Struthio camelus: one gene and its partner. The main gene of each other region encodes a partner of the protein of the gene in region 2 in a complex. Links are inferred from orthologs where the notes say so. Each region holds a gene or a part of one and is shown on either strand. Other genes may lie near its edges.

The links. The genes of interacting proteins can lie anywhere in the genome.
Region 1: COQ7 (region 2) and COQ4 share a complex: the UniProt entries of both Homo sapiens proteins name them as parts of the multi-subunit COQ enzyme complex. The link is inferred for Struthio camelus from reciprocal best matches to the Homo sapiens genes COQ7 and COQ4.

The regions. Positions count from the first base shown.
Region 1 is NC_090961.1:7,544,881-7,548,480, reverse strand, and holds the start of COQ4 (ubiquinone biosynthesis protein COQ4 homolog, mitochondrial), read right to left. Parts: upstream 2,378-3,600; 5' UTR 2,367-2,377; coding exon 2,293-2,366; intron 1,500-2,292; coding exon 1,318-1,499; intron 788-1,317; coding exon 691-787; intron 1-690. Other genes in the region: TRUB2 (pseudouridylate synthase TRUB2, mitochondrial), read left to right, coding at 2,409-2,520, 2,607-2,723, 2,808-2,882, 3,443-3,504. UniProt on the Homo sapiens protein: Lyase that catalyzes the C1-decarboxylation of 4-hydroxy-3-methoxy-5-(all-trans-decaprenyl)benzoic acid into 2-methoxy-6-(all-trans-decaprenyl)phenol during ubiquinone biosynthesis.
Region 2 is NC_090956.1:10,261,065-10,269,238, reverse strand, and holds COQ7 (5-demethoxyubiquinone hydroxylase, mitochondrial), read right to left. Parts: upstream 4,796-8,174; 5' UTR 4,760-4,795; coding exon 4,693-4,759; intron 4,533-4,692; coding exon 4,333-4,532; intron 3,938-4,332; coding exon 3,823-3,937; intron 3,719-3,822; coding exon 3,579-3,718; intron 2,019-3,578; coding exon 1,950-2,018; intron 1,306-1,949; coding exon 1,228-1,305; 3' UTR 746-1,227; downstream 1-745. Other genes in the region: TMC7 (transmembrane channel-like protein 7), read right to left, coding at 6,325-6,384, 7,510-7,588. UniProt on the Homo sapiens protein: Catalyzes the hydroxylation of the 5-methoxy-2-methyl-3-(all-trans-polyprenyl)benzoquinone at the C6 position and participates in the biosynthesis of ubiquinone.

The DNA of each region.
Region 1 (3,600 bases), on a different chromosome or scaffold from region 2:
TTTCTCCCAGACAGTTCATGGCGCAGCTGGGATCAAGCATACCACAGGCACCAGGCGTAACAAATAACCAGGAGAAGGGAAAAGGAAAGTAAATAAACAGTAAGATGATCTTGGTTAATAAGAGGCTCAGGAAGTCCCTCCTTGTCCCCAGCCTTACTGTGCTCAACAATTCCCTGCAGACATGGAGGCAAGAGTGATCAAGACTAACAAGAATGACATGAGAACTGCCCTTATTTCATAGCTTAGGGAGATGCCACGGGCACCCGGAAATAAAGTACAGAAGTGTCTAAAGGGAAAGCAGACCAGCAAGTGATGAAGTCTTCAATGCAAGGAGATGCAGCAGCAGACACAGGGGAGAAAAAACACATCCATGGATTTTATCACAGCTAAGAGAGAAGGCGCCTACCAGTTACAGGAGCAAAGCAGAACAGACAGACACCAGCGCTTGAAATAGGCCTGGGCTCCAGTGACGTTTGTGCTGTTGCCCTTAGACTTGCCACAGAGCTCTTGCGATGGTTAAAAATAAAGTAAAGTAAACAAACTGGAGGATTAAAACTAACAAAATGCCTGTGCCCCTTTTAGGACAGGAAGTGCAGGACTCGCCCTTCACACAGACCAAGGAACGCACTGGTCAGGTGCCTCCCTCCCCACAAGCCATGGACGCAGAGAGAGGGATGAGGAGGGACGCACTGGAGGATGCGGTAACCTTCAGGATCGTGTTTCATCTTGTCTCGCAGGTTCGGTAGGACAAGGCAGCCCGTTGTCTCCCCAAGGACCGCCACCATGTCTGAAAGAGAGACCGGGCAGTGACCCAAGAGCAGCAGACACACAGCATCCAATGTATTTATTTTTACATCACCCAGCTGTCCCCATATGATAGGTGAGGAAACGAGGCAACGCATTGGCCAGGACCACGCAGGAAGCTTGTGGCAAAGAAAGGCACCCAGGGTTAACGCTAACGACGGACTGCCCACCTCAGGGTTATGCTGCTTGGTCTGACCCACAGGGAGGGACGTGAGAGCGGGTGCGAGGTGCTCTTTCCAGGCCTGGGAGAACAAGGAGTGTGATGTGGCTGGTTGGCATCACAGGGCTTGGCAGGAGATGCTTAGGGGGTGCAGGGGAATCCTGCACCCCTCTCCTCCACAGCATCCTGCCCCGGGGCAGGTCTTAGCCCTGCACCTTCCCCATTAGTAAACGTCTCACCCAGCAGAAGAAATAAAACCCCCCCTGGAAACTCCCAGCAGAGACACAGGGCAGCAGTTGCAGGATGCAAGTAACAGGATCCCAGGTGGAAAAAGCCACCCTGGCTCGGCTTACCGTGTCTGTAGGGGTCATAGAGAGCCATCGCCGCTGAGCCAGCAGCCAGCAGCGCTTTCTGCAGCGGGCTGGTGGGGATGTGCCCAGGGTACAGCTGGTAGCACCCGTCCTGCTCCTCCGCACGTCCGTCCTCCGCGGGGCGCCCCGCAGCCACCTGGGGCTCGGCATGGCTCAGACATACCCTGCCTGCAGAGAGGGCCCCGGAGGGCTGCGTGAGCGGGTGGCCCTGCCAGCTCCCTGCTGAGGGGTTCGTCACTCGGATGTGGAGAGGGCCCTCGTGGAGGCGATGGGCACCCCAAAGCAGGGTAAGAAGTGCCCCAAACCTGGGCCTGCCGCCTCCCTGGTGAGGGGTGCGACACCTGGGTGCCGTGAGGGCACTCACGGAGGTGGTGGGCACCCAAAAATGGCTGAGCAAGGTCCTACCTGGTCCTGCCAGCTCCCTGATGAGGGACGCGTCACCCAGGTGCCATAAGGGCACTCATAGAGGTGGTGGGCACCCAAAAATGGCTGAGCAAGGTCCTACCTGGTCCTGCCAGCTCCCTGATGAGGGATGTGTCACCCAGGTGCCATGAGGGCACTCACAGAGGTGGTGGGCACCCAAAAATGGCTGAGCAAGGTCCTACCTGGTCCTGCCGGCTCCCTGCTGCCATGAGGGCACTCACGGAGGTGGTGGGCACCCCAAAACAGGGCAAGAAGTGCCCCAAACCCGGCCTGCCGGCTGCCTGCTGGGGGACTTGTCACCCGGGTGCCGCAAGGGCCCTCGAGCAGAGGCCCCGCCGAGGGGCGCGACGCCCGAGGGGCGCAAAGGGCCCTCGCCGAGGCGGCGGGCACCCCCCCCCCAAAAAAACCCCCCCGGGTGAGCAGGGGTCCTACCCCCGGGCCTGCGGGCTGCCCGGCGAGGGGGGCGGCGGCCGGGGGCCAACCGCGGGGCGAGCAGGGGCCCGCGGCGGCAGGACGAGGCCCCGCCAGGGACACTTGCCTGGGGAGCCGCCGCCCGCCGGCCTCAGCCGGGCCCGCGCCGCCGCCGCCCGCCGCAGCCCCGCCAGCATCGCGCCCGGAAGCGCCGGGGCCGCGCGGGGCGGGACGGGACGATGGCGGCGGCGGCGGCGCGGGGTTTCCCGTCGGGGCTGTTCGCCGTGTACAAGCCGCCGGGGGTGGCGTGGGACGGCGTGCGCGGCGCCGTGGAGGCGCGGCTGCTGCGCGGTGAGCGGGGCCGGGGGGCGGCGGCGGGGGGGGGGGGGGGCGGCCGGCGGCCCCCCCCCCTCACCGCCGCTCTCGCCGTCCCGCAGAGCTGAACGCGGCGGCGCGGCGGCCCCCGCCGCTCCACGTCCGCTTCCTGCCGGGCGGCGGCGCGGCCCCGGGGCTGGTGGCCACCCGCGTGCCCGTGCTGGCCGAGCACCCCCTCGGTAAGAGCCGTCGGGGGGGGGGGGGGGGACGGGACACGCGGGGGCGGCGAGCCCGGCCCCGACCCCCCCTGCCCTCCGCTGCAGTTACAGGCCCGAGGTTCCGGCGGCTGCGGATGGGCGCGGGGCACCGGCTGGACGCGAAGGCCTCGGGGGTGCTCGGTAGGTTGGGCTGGGCGCTCGCCCGGGAAGGGCCTCGCTCGCCGGGGGCGTGTGGGGGGGGGTCTCGACACCCCCGGGCCTCCCGCCGCCTCGGGGCGAGCGCGAATGCGGAAGGGCGGCGGGAGCCGAGGCGGAGCGGCGCCGAGGCCTCGAGCGGCGCCCACACCTCGTGCGGGTGGTGCTGAGGCCTCGGGCGGGCGGGACTGAGGGCGCTGACGCCTCAAGCGGCGCTGACGCCTCGTGCGGGCGGCGCTGCCGCCTCGCGCAGCTTCGACGCCGCGGCCGACGGCCTGCGCCAGCCGCTCGCCCTGCCCCGGCGGCCGAGGGGGGCCCGCCGCGGCCGGCGTTGCTGAGCTCGTTGCCTTGTGGTCCCCGGGTGCAAAGTCCTGGACAAAGCGAAGTCCGGCCGCGGGGTGGGGGTCTGACGGCGTTTCTCAGGCAGAGGTTTGTCCCCTCCGTCCATGGGAGGGGGGGAAGGGAAGTGCCATAGGTGTGCGGCGCTGCATCGGTGCTTCCGCAGAAGTGACGTGCGACGGTTTCCGCTGTCTCTTGTGTTTCAGTGCTTGGCATAGGCCACGGGAACAAGCTGCTCACTGATCTGTACAACTGCCATCTGACTAAGGTACGTGATGGCTTTGAGCGGGCCCAGAAGGTCGGCGGGCAATGTCCTGCTTGAGTCCTGCCTCGCTGCCCCAAACTGTCCGTGTTAGAAACAGTA
Region 2 (8,174 bases):
CTTTGCTTCCATGACAATGCAGTAGGAAAAGAACGGTCAGGAAGTTCTTAAGACATAAAGAGCAACAGAAACAATCTTGCAAAGAAGTTCCTATCATCTCCTGAACTGCAATTGCAATTGTGTCCACGTCTCACCAGCGGGCCATTCCCCACTCCATCTCAAAAATGATGTAGCAGGAAGCAAGATTAGCAACTCGTAACTCCCTACAGGTTTCATCTATCATGTTTTAAAATAATAGCAAACGGAGTCACAAACCAATCCCTCTCTCTGCCTGCCTGGAACCATTAACAGTTTCTATCCCCAGGCTCTCAGACACACGTTAAGGGAAGTCTCTTTTCTTACCAGTGTAAGACATACTAATTTCATTGCCATTTTCTTGTCTGTATTTTGTCATCTCTGGTCAGCATTTAACAGAGCAGGTAGGCAGAACTGTCTTGTGTATTTCTATTGCTCCACACCAAGATGCCAGCAGGAAACAGGGGGAAATTGTTCCTACACTAGGAAAGCCACAGTCCTTATTCAAGAGCCACTGAAGTCTAGATACAGAGGGAGATAAAGCTGAAAGCTGTAACAAAATACTAGATGAGATTCTACAGGTGGTCTACACTGCTCTGCCCACGTGCTTCACATCAGGGGTCCACTCCTTCTGCATACTCAGGATAAAATCAGGTATATAGAATTTCTGATTAAATAAGGAATTGAGAAGTGACCCTAAAAACACCAAAAAAAAGTATTCAAATGGAAGTCTTATAATAACCAGTCTTTATTCAAGACAGACAGAAAAGAAATAATTACTAGGACTTCATTTACTTACCCTTCAAACAGAACTCAAAAATATCCTACTTAGTCAGTACCAACTAATTTAAAATGAGCTCCAGCTTCCTTCAAATAAATATAAATGTGAAGGTAAGGGAGAATACATTTACCATTTTTATATATGTATGAATCATGTATATACATATATATTTTACTGCCACCTTGTGAACAGTTTCAGAATTAGGAGGTTTAGTTCGTATGGACCCAATTCTGTCATCTTCGCTCACATTTAGCTCCACTGACCTTAATGCAGATACTTATTGAACGGGTACTCAATATGAGAAAGGATAGCCTAATCAGATGCTTAGTGAAGAAAAATTTAAAAGGCTGTATAAAATGACTATTTTTCTTCCACGATTTCACACATTTTTGTGTCGTAGTTTATTACCACAATCGCTACGGAAAATATCATTAAATTCTTTCTGATAAAAATATAGCAGCTTTGCATCCAAGCTGTATAGCTATCTTCAAAACTGAATAAGCTGGTGCCTGTAAAAGAAAGAATAAAAGATTACATACATCTAACACTCCAATAACATGTTTTGTTTGAATCTAATCTGTGATAAGCCACAGCAAGCATTATTTTAATAATGTAACTATATTTGTAATTTCAACCACCCTAGATAAAACTAAATCAACATCAACTTAGCAGAACGTTTTCTATTTCTCCACAAATCAAGAGAAAGAAGTTGGGAAGTCACACAGTCCTCCTATGAGCATAAAATTTAGTTCAGCATTTCATCCTTCCTAATGCGGCTGTGTTTGTCTATCAAGACAATGCCTCAATTTCCCAGCTGTATGGGTAATATTTATTAGATTAAATATTTTCAATATAACGCTAAATAAACACTTTAAATCTGAGCAGGGGACACTTCCCAGGAAAGCAAAAATCACTTTAATATTACACATAAATTCCAACAGATTCAATTCTATTCTAGACGGGGAAAAAAAAAGCTATAAGATGCAGTGCCATTTCAGTGTTATCTTGCACCTATTTTCAGGAAGGACTATCAAACCTTTTTTTTTTTTTTTTTCTTCCCTCACATGAAGAATTATGTCACAGTCACTGGATATGGGAGATTATCACACCTAGATCCCTGCTAACAGCACTAACGAGTTAACACTATACTTACTGACTCTGCGTTGTGCTCGAGCCCAATGTCATGGTGCTCCCGTTCATCATCCCGAAATTGCTTTATTATCTTTAAAAATAGTAGGTCATTAGTAGGTCTACTGTACAGAGAAAGAGGCAGCTAGAATACAAAAATCACATGCTTTTGGCCACTGCATGCACCAGGGTCGGCATCTGAGGCCCAGGTCTCTCTCAAAAACGTTCAGCTTCTTAAAGACCTGAAACCCCAATTCATTGAGAAAGGAATTGTCCTGCCAGGCTTACAGCATCCCTCAAACCTAAAGTTATTTTAATATTCTGAAAAATCTTTAGAAAGTTAATCTAAAATATAACTTTTTCCCCACTATTTCAGGAAAACCTGTAGTCAAGGGTAACTTGCAATGCTAATTAGCTTCACACATACAACAGTTACTCGGACACATTAAATTAAAAAATTAACGTCGCTGCCTTGCCAGATTTTATTAAGGGTGTTTGTTCCCCTGTAAGCCAGCAGGGCTTTCGTCCATTCTAGCATACGCTAAAGAACAAGACAGAGGACAAAAAAAGTTGTGAAGAGACTCCAACAGCAAGTGAAGCACAAAAAACAAACTCACAGAGACAAAGGCAAAGAGCACTGCTAGTGCAGAAATTAAACAGCACCTTCAAATAGAATAGCTGAGGTTTAATTACATCACTATTTTTCTTCTGTATTTTGACAATTGGGTCAGAAAGATTTAAGGAAGTTTCTCTTAAGATGCCTACATATACCTAGAAGTGCTTAGTAATTTGCAGCACCTACAGACACCGGCCCACAGGGTTCATATTCTCTTTCACTTTCATCTTTAGTCCTCCTCCAATTGGAGGCGGCTGACTAGCCTTGCTGCTTAACTTTTTCCTCTTTATATTGCACCTTTTGGTTATTAGCCTTTACTTTTATAAGTAATATTTCTGTCATACACATCAGCACAGGCTGGGTTACTTCAGATACTGTTTCTGTGACAACAGGACAAGTTTGGAGTAACCAGACACGGCCACAGGCTAAACTATGCACAGCTGAGCATAACAACAGCAGAGAGAGTTGGGAATGAACATGCAGTCCCTAGAGCAAGCAAAGCACAAACAAACTCAATGGGCTGCATGTGGAAACAGGTCCTCTCTCACAAGTACCTACAAAACGTGTCCCAATTTTATGACTAAAATACTTGGGAATTATTTTTCTTGTAGACCTAACAAGTATATCGGCTCCTTTCACACTCTGTATTCAACGCTTGAATAATATAATCACATCCAGTATAACCAAAATATTACCACACAACTCCTCACACTTTTCCCATTTTCTTTTACTCTAAACTCTTCATTTCAGTTAAAAACATTCAAAATTAAAGTACAATTCTCCCAATCAAAAGAAAATTACTGAATTACTGAAAGTGTGCTGAGGTTGATTTAACATATTTTAATTTTGGTGTTTGATCAATTTAGCATGTTAAAGGAACAACCATTCTTTTAGTTTAAGGTTTCTGTTGCCTTCACAGTTTTAAGTTACAGGACGAAAAGATCTACTGCAATTCTACTGTCACATTGTTCTAAAAAAAAGTCTCATTACATAATTCAATTAGTTTGTTAAACTACTTTTTAGGTCACAGTAAAATACCTGCAATAATTCTCTGTATTTTTCTGGATCTTCTTCCATAAGAGTTCTGATCTGACTATTATAGTGATCCGATATGCTCTCTTCCACTGCCACTGTGCAAGCCATTGCACCTTTTTTTCCAAGTAAAGCACTTCCAGCCCCTATGATTGTGGTACAAACAAATCCAAACAATGAAATTCAAAGCAACATGAATAATTTATACATTCAAAGAATTCATAAAACAATAATAATAGTAGAAGCTCACCTAAAACAAAGCCTGCTACATTCCAGAAAGGTAATAAAACAGTAGGTCGAACTCTGTATGCAACCATTAGTTCATTAAACTTTTTCAGATGATCTTTTTCTTGATTCCACATTTGCTGAAACAGAACCAAATCATAGTAAAGCGCAACACCAAAAAGGCAGACTTTTTAAATAAAACTAATAGCAAGAACAGAAATAAACACGTTGCTCAGGTCACCCACACTAACTTTACAGGTAAGTATTCACAACATACAAAGGAAACAGGAAGAAGGGCAAATAAGGATAGTTACAAACGGGCAACATAAAAATATCAGCAAATATCTGAGTTATAGTTCCCTTAATCAAGTAATGCAAGCACTCTTTATGAATACACATGTTTAAAGCCATTTAGAAAGACATACACAACTAGCCACCTTGCTATAAAGGCTACGGCCCTACCGCTTTGTTCGACCACCGTTAAACAAAAGCAAAGTAAAGAAGAAACGAGGCGGCAGCTTTCCAGCCCGCTCACCTGAATAACCGGCCCCACCGCCGACCGGCCCAGCACGGCCATCTGCCCCGCGTAGATGCGGTTCGCCCCGTACTCCCCGGCGTGGTCCACGCGGATGATGCGGTCCACGACGACCTTGTTGATGCCGTCCGGGGTCACCCCCGTGCTGCAGCGCCGGGCCGAAGCGCCCCTCGCGGGCGGGCGCCACCCGCCGCCGAGACCTGCGGAGAGACACGCGTGAGGCGAGTTCCGCCGCCGGGCCGGGGCCGGGGGCGAAGCCGAGGCCACGGGCGGGAGCGTGGGGCCCCGGGAGGGCCCCGGCGCGCGGCTGCTGCGGACGGCGGCGCCCGGCGCGGAGCCGCCCCGAGGCCGAGGCCGTACCGGCTCCGCCGCAGAGCGGCCGGCACCGCCCCAGCGACCGCCGCAGCACCGGCGGCGCCGCCGCCATCCCGCTGACCCCGCCGCCTCCTCGGGCGCGTCGCCCGGCGGTAACGTCATCGCCAACGGCCGGCCCGTAGCCCGCGCTCCTCCCTCGCCCCGCCCCATCGCGCCTCCCATTGGCTGCCCGGCGCTCCTCGGCGGCTCCGCACTGGGCGACGGAGCTGTCAGTCAGGGCCGGCGTTGCTCAGCTGCCATGGAAACGGCAGCGCCCCGCCGTTGGGAGCGGGCGCGGAGAAGCGCCCGCGCTGGCGCAGCGCGCCGGCCCTGCGCCCAGACTCGGCGGAGGCACTGCCCGCCTCCAGAGGGTAAGGAAGACGGAGGGGCGCAACCTCCGCAGGTCAACTCACCTCCAGTGTTCAATAAAAGCCCCGGACACTGCATTATTAAAAAAGAAAAATCGAGTCGTTTATTGCATGTTACTTTCTTGAAAAAGAAGATAGAAAAAAATTTCCAAAACATTATACAACAAGACTACAACATCTCACATATTAATTACACTATAGCTTTCAAGAAATGTACGCAACCAGAATTCTCTACAGAAAATCCTTAACAGAACCACAGTCTTCAAATACAGGAAAAAAAAACCCAGTAGGCTGCTTAGAAATACTGATCTCAGAGGCACACAGCTCCGTCGATTCACTTCGGGGGTAAGAATCACGGTGAACGTAAAGGGTGCGGGCACATGAAAGTTTCTGAATGTTATATTTCTGTATTATAAATGACTTGTTTAAACTCTCCAGCATTCACATTTTAGAACAGAAAGAATAGTATTCCAGATGTTTGTGGGCAGACTAAACTGCAAGAAAGCCTTACGTGTTTAAACAAAGGCCAATCCCTAGCAGCAGGACTAGTATCACAGCCACTGACTGCCTTTGTTAGAGATGTACACCCCTCCGTGTTCAGACAACTGGTGGTTTCTTCTAGCATTTATTCAGAATTCTTTTATCTGCTTGTTTTTTCCTAAATCATTTTCGTCAGTTATCTAGTGTTCAACTGCAGTTGCTACTTCAGAGCAAAAGGTCTAAGCCTCTTCTCTAAAATTTAGAGAAATACTTAGAAAACTGATTTAAAACTCATGCAGTATTTTCCCTCCAATGCACTATTTCAAAATACTGACTTAAGTGTTTCTTTTGCTTTGGTTTTAAAAGAGAAATGAGTTGCAAACATGTAAAATCGCTCCTCCTCCCCACCAATTCTTAAGCTTAATTTATAAAAGCACTTCAGAGAGTTTCTGAACGGAATCTCAGTTCTGAGCATGTTTTACCCAAAATCCCTAGAAATACTGGGATTTAACATAAACACTGACAACCTTGAAACTCTAGCAGCAATAAAGCATCCTACCATTGAATTTTTTGGACAGGGCTAATACAGTACAAGTAAGTTAAATTTCAAGTCTGGGTAACTTTTAAGCCCCATTAGCTTAATCAACATTAAGAACGTAAAACATTCATTACATAGACTGCAGAGTCAAGGTGCTCGTCAGCTATTCGGTTTAAGTGCTGTAGACATTTCTACTCTTATCTAGTGGTTCTGGAAGTTTCAGAAAGTCAAGTTCTGTTTTTTGGGGGGTTTTCAAGTATGCTTCTGAGCTTCTGTTATCTTTCTGATTAGGAACAGCTTGTCACGACTCTCCTGGAAAGACAGAATAAAACATACGCCTTTTAGATAAACAGAAGAAGGAACTACAAATGACCTCTATTCAACTCATGTCTTTATGAGAAACAGAGCAGCGTATTCACTACATGCTAAGCTGATTAGTGGCTCCCCACACTCTCTCAGCTGTCTAAACAATTTTAGGTCTACAACGGTCTTGACTTCATTCACCTCACGTTAGGTCACGTTAACAGTTCTGTGTTGGGCCTAGTAAAAACATCCGACACACACATAAAACTTTAAAATTGTACTGCCAAGACAGGAGTCCAGATAGGAGTCCAGATAGGAGTCCTTCACAAAGCAGCAAGAATTTCACTCCAAAATCACTTACTCTTCAATATCTCCGCTGAACCCACTGCTTTTCTTACAATGCCATATTTAAATGCCATATTTAACATACAGTAAAAGAGGGGCTACTTCCTAAAAAGCTTTGAAAGCCTTACTAGCAAGGCTAGATTTTGGCTTCAGCACAGCTTCTCAGAACACAGCATGTGAACGCTATCAAACTGGTGCATGGCAGCAGCCTCTGATGGCCTGCAAATAAGCATATCTGCACTGGCAACATTTTCAGAAAGATTTGTTAGCGGTGACTTGCTCCATCTCTCGCTGTACCTAGAGTATCTGTTGCAGGCAGTACTGGGACCTCCACTCAGAAAACAGACCAAATACGACGAGGTAGGAAAAACGAGGTTCTTGCTTGCGAGAGTGGAGACGGTAAGAGATGGGGGTTGTGTAAAATGGCGGAGGGGGCAGAAGGCACAAGATTCAGGTTCTACTTTGGCAGGATCAAACATACGCAAGACCGTGGGTAAAGAACAGGGGCACCACACCATAGGGGCGCATCCTGTCCCACACGTGTGTGGGCTGACATAACTGGGCCTTGCTCCAGCTGCTGCTGATACCCAAGTAAACCAACTAGACTGAAGAATGCTTTAGTGCTTGGGATTTTTCCTGTATAACTTGTAAAACTTTCTTCATTGCCTGTCCAAACACCAAATAATTGGAAGACTAAGAAAACTGCTGTTCCTCTGCGCTCCTGATCACTGATGCAACACACAAAGAAAACTTAAGCAGTAAAAAAAGAAGTAATGTGTCTAATCTCACCATAACCAGTTGTTCCCTCAGCTGCTGAACAACTCGTTTGTGTGCTTCAGCCAAGGCAATGAAATAGAACATAACGATGCTGCAAACAGCAAACCAGCATTACATTAATATTATGCAAAACACAGAATCAGTTAAAAAAAGCTGTTAAAGGCCAGAGGAATTGCCAATTTGGGCATTCACTTCAGATAGTAGAGAAGCTGCTGGGCAGGGGGATGGGAGGGGGAATAACATACAGCATGGGAAGACAGGGCATAGCCCTGACTGAAAGCAGCTACCAAGATATTTGTGCTGTCAGCAGGGAGGTACAGAGTGCTAGAGGATGCAGAGGCAGGACATCCTGCAGAGGTTACAGATTGCACCCTAAGAGCTTTTTCTAGGCCATCAGTTCCTGCCCTGCTCTAAACATGGTGTGGGGGGTGGGGAAGGCTCATCAGAAATCAAGTTTAATGAGTTTCACTGGAGTAACTCCTTGCTTCTGCTGTGGTTTGGTTATGGTAAACAGCTACAGAGTAATACTGCATCAATGCTTTATATCATGTATTTCTGATGTAATCTGTCACCCAGAATGTTATCCACAGTCCATGAAATGAAGAGCAGTAGCAAGAACTAGAATGTCACAAATGCCTATGTAAATCACATCTTTTCTCTTCCAGATAAGAAGTATT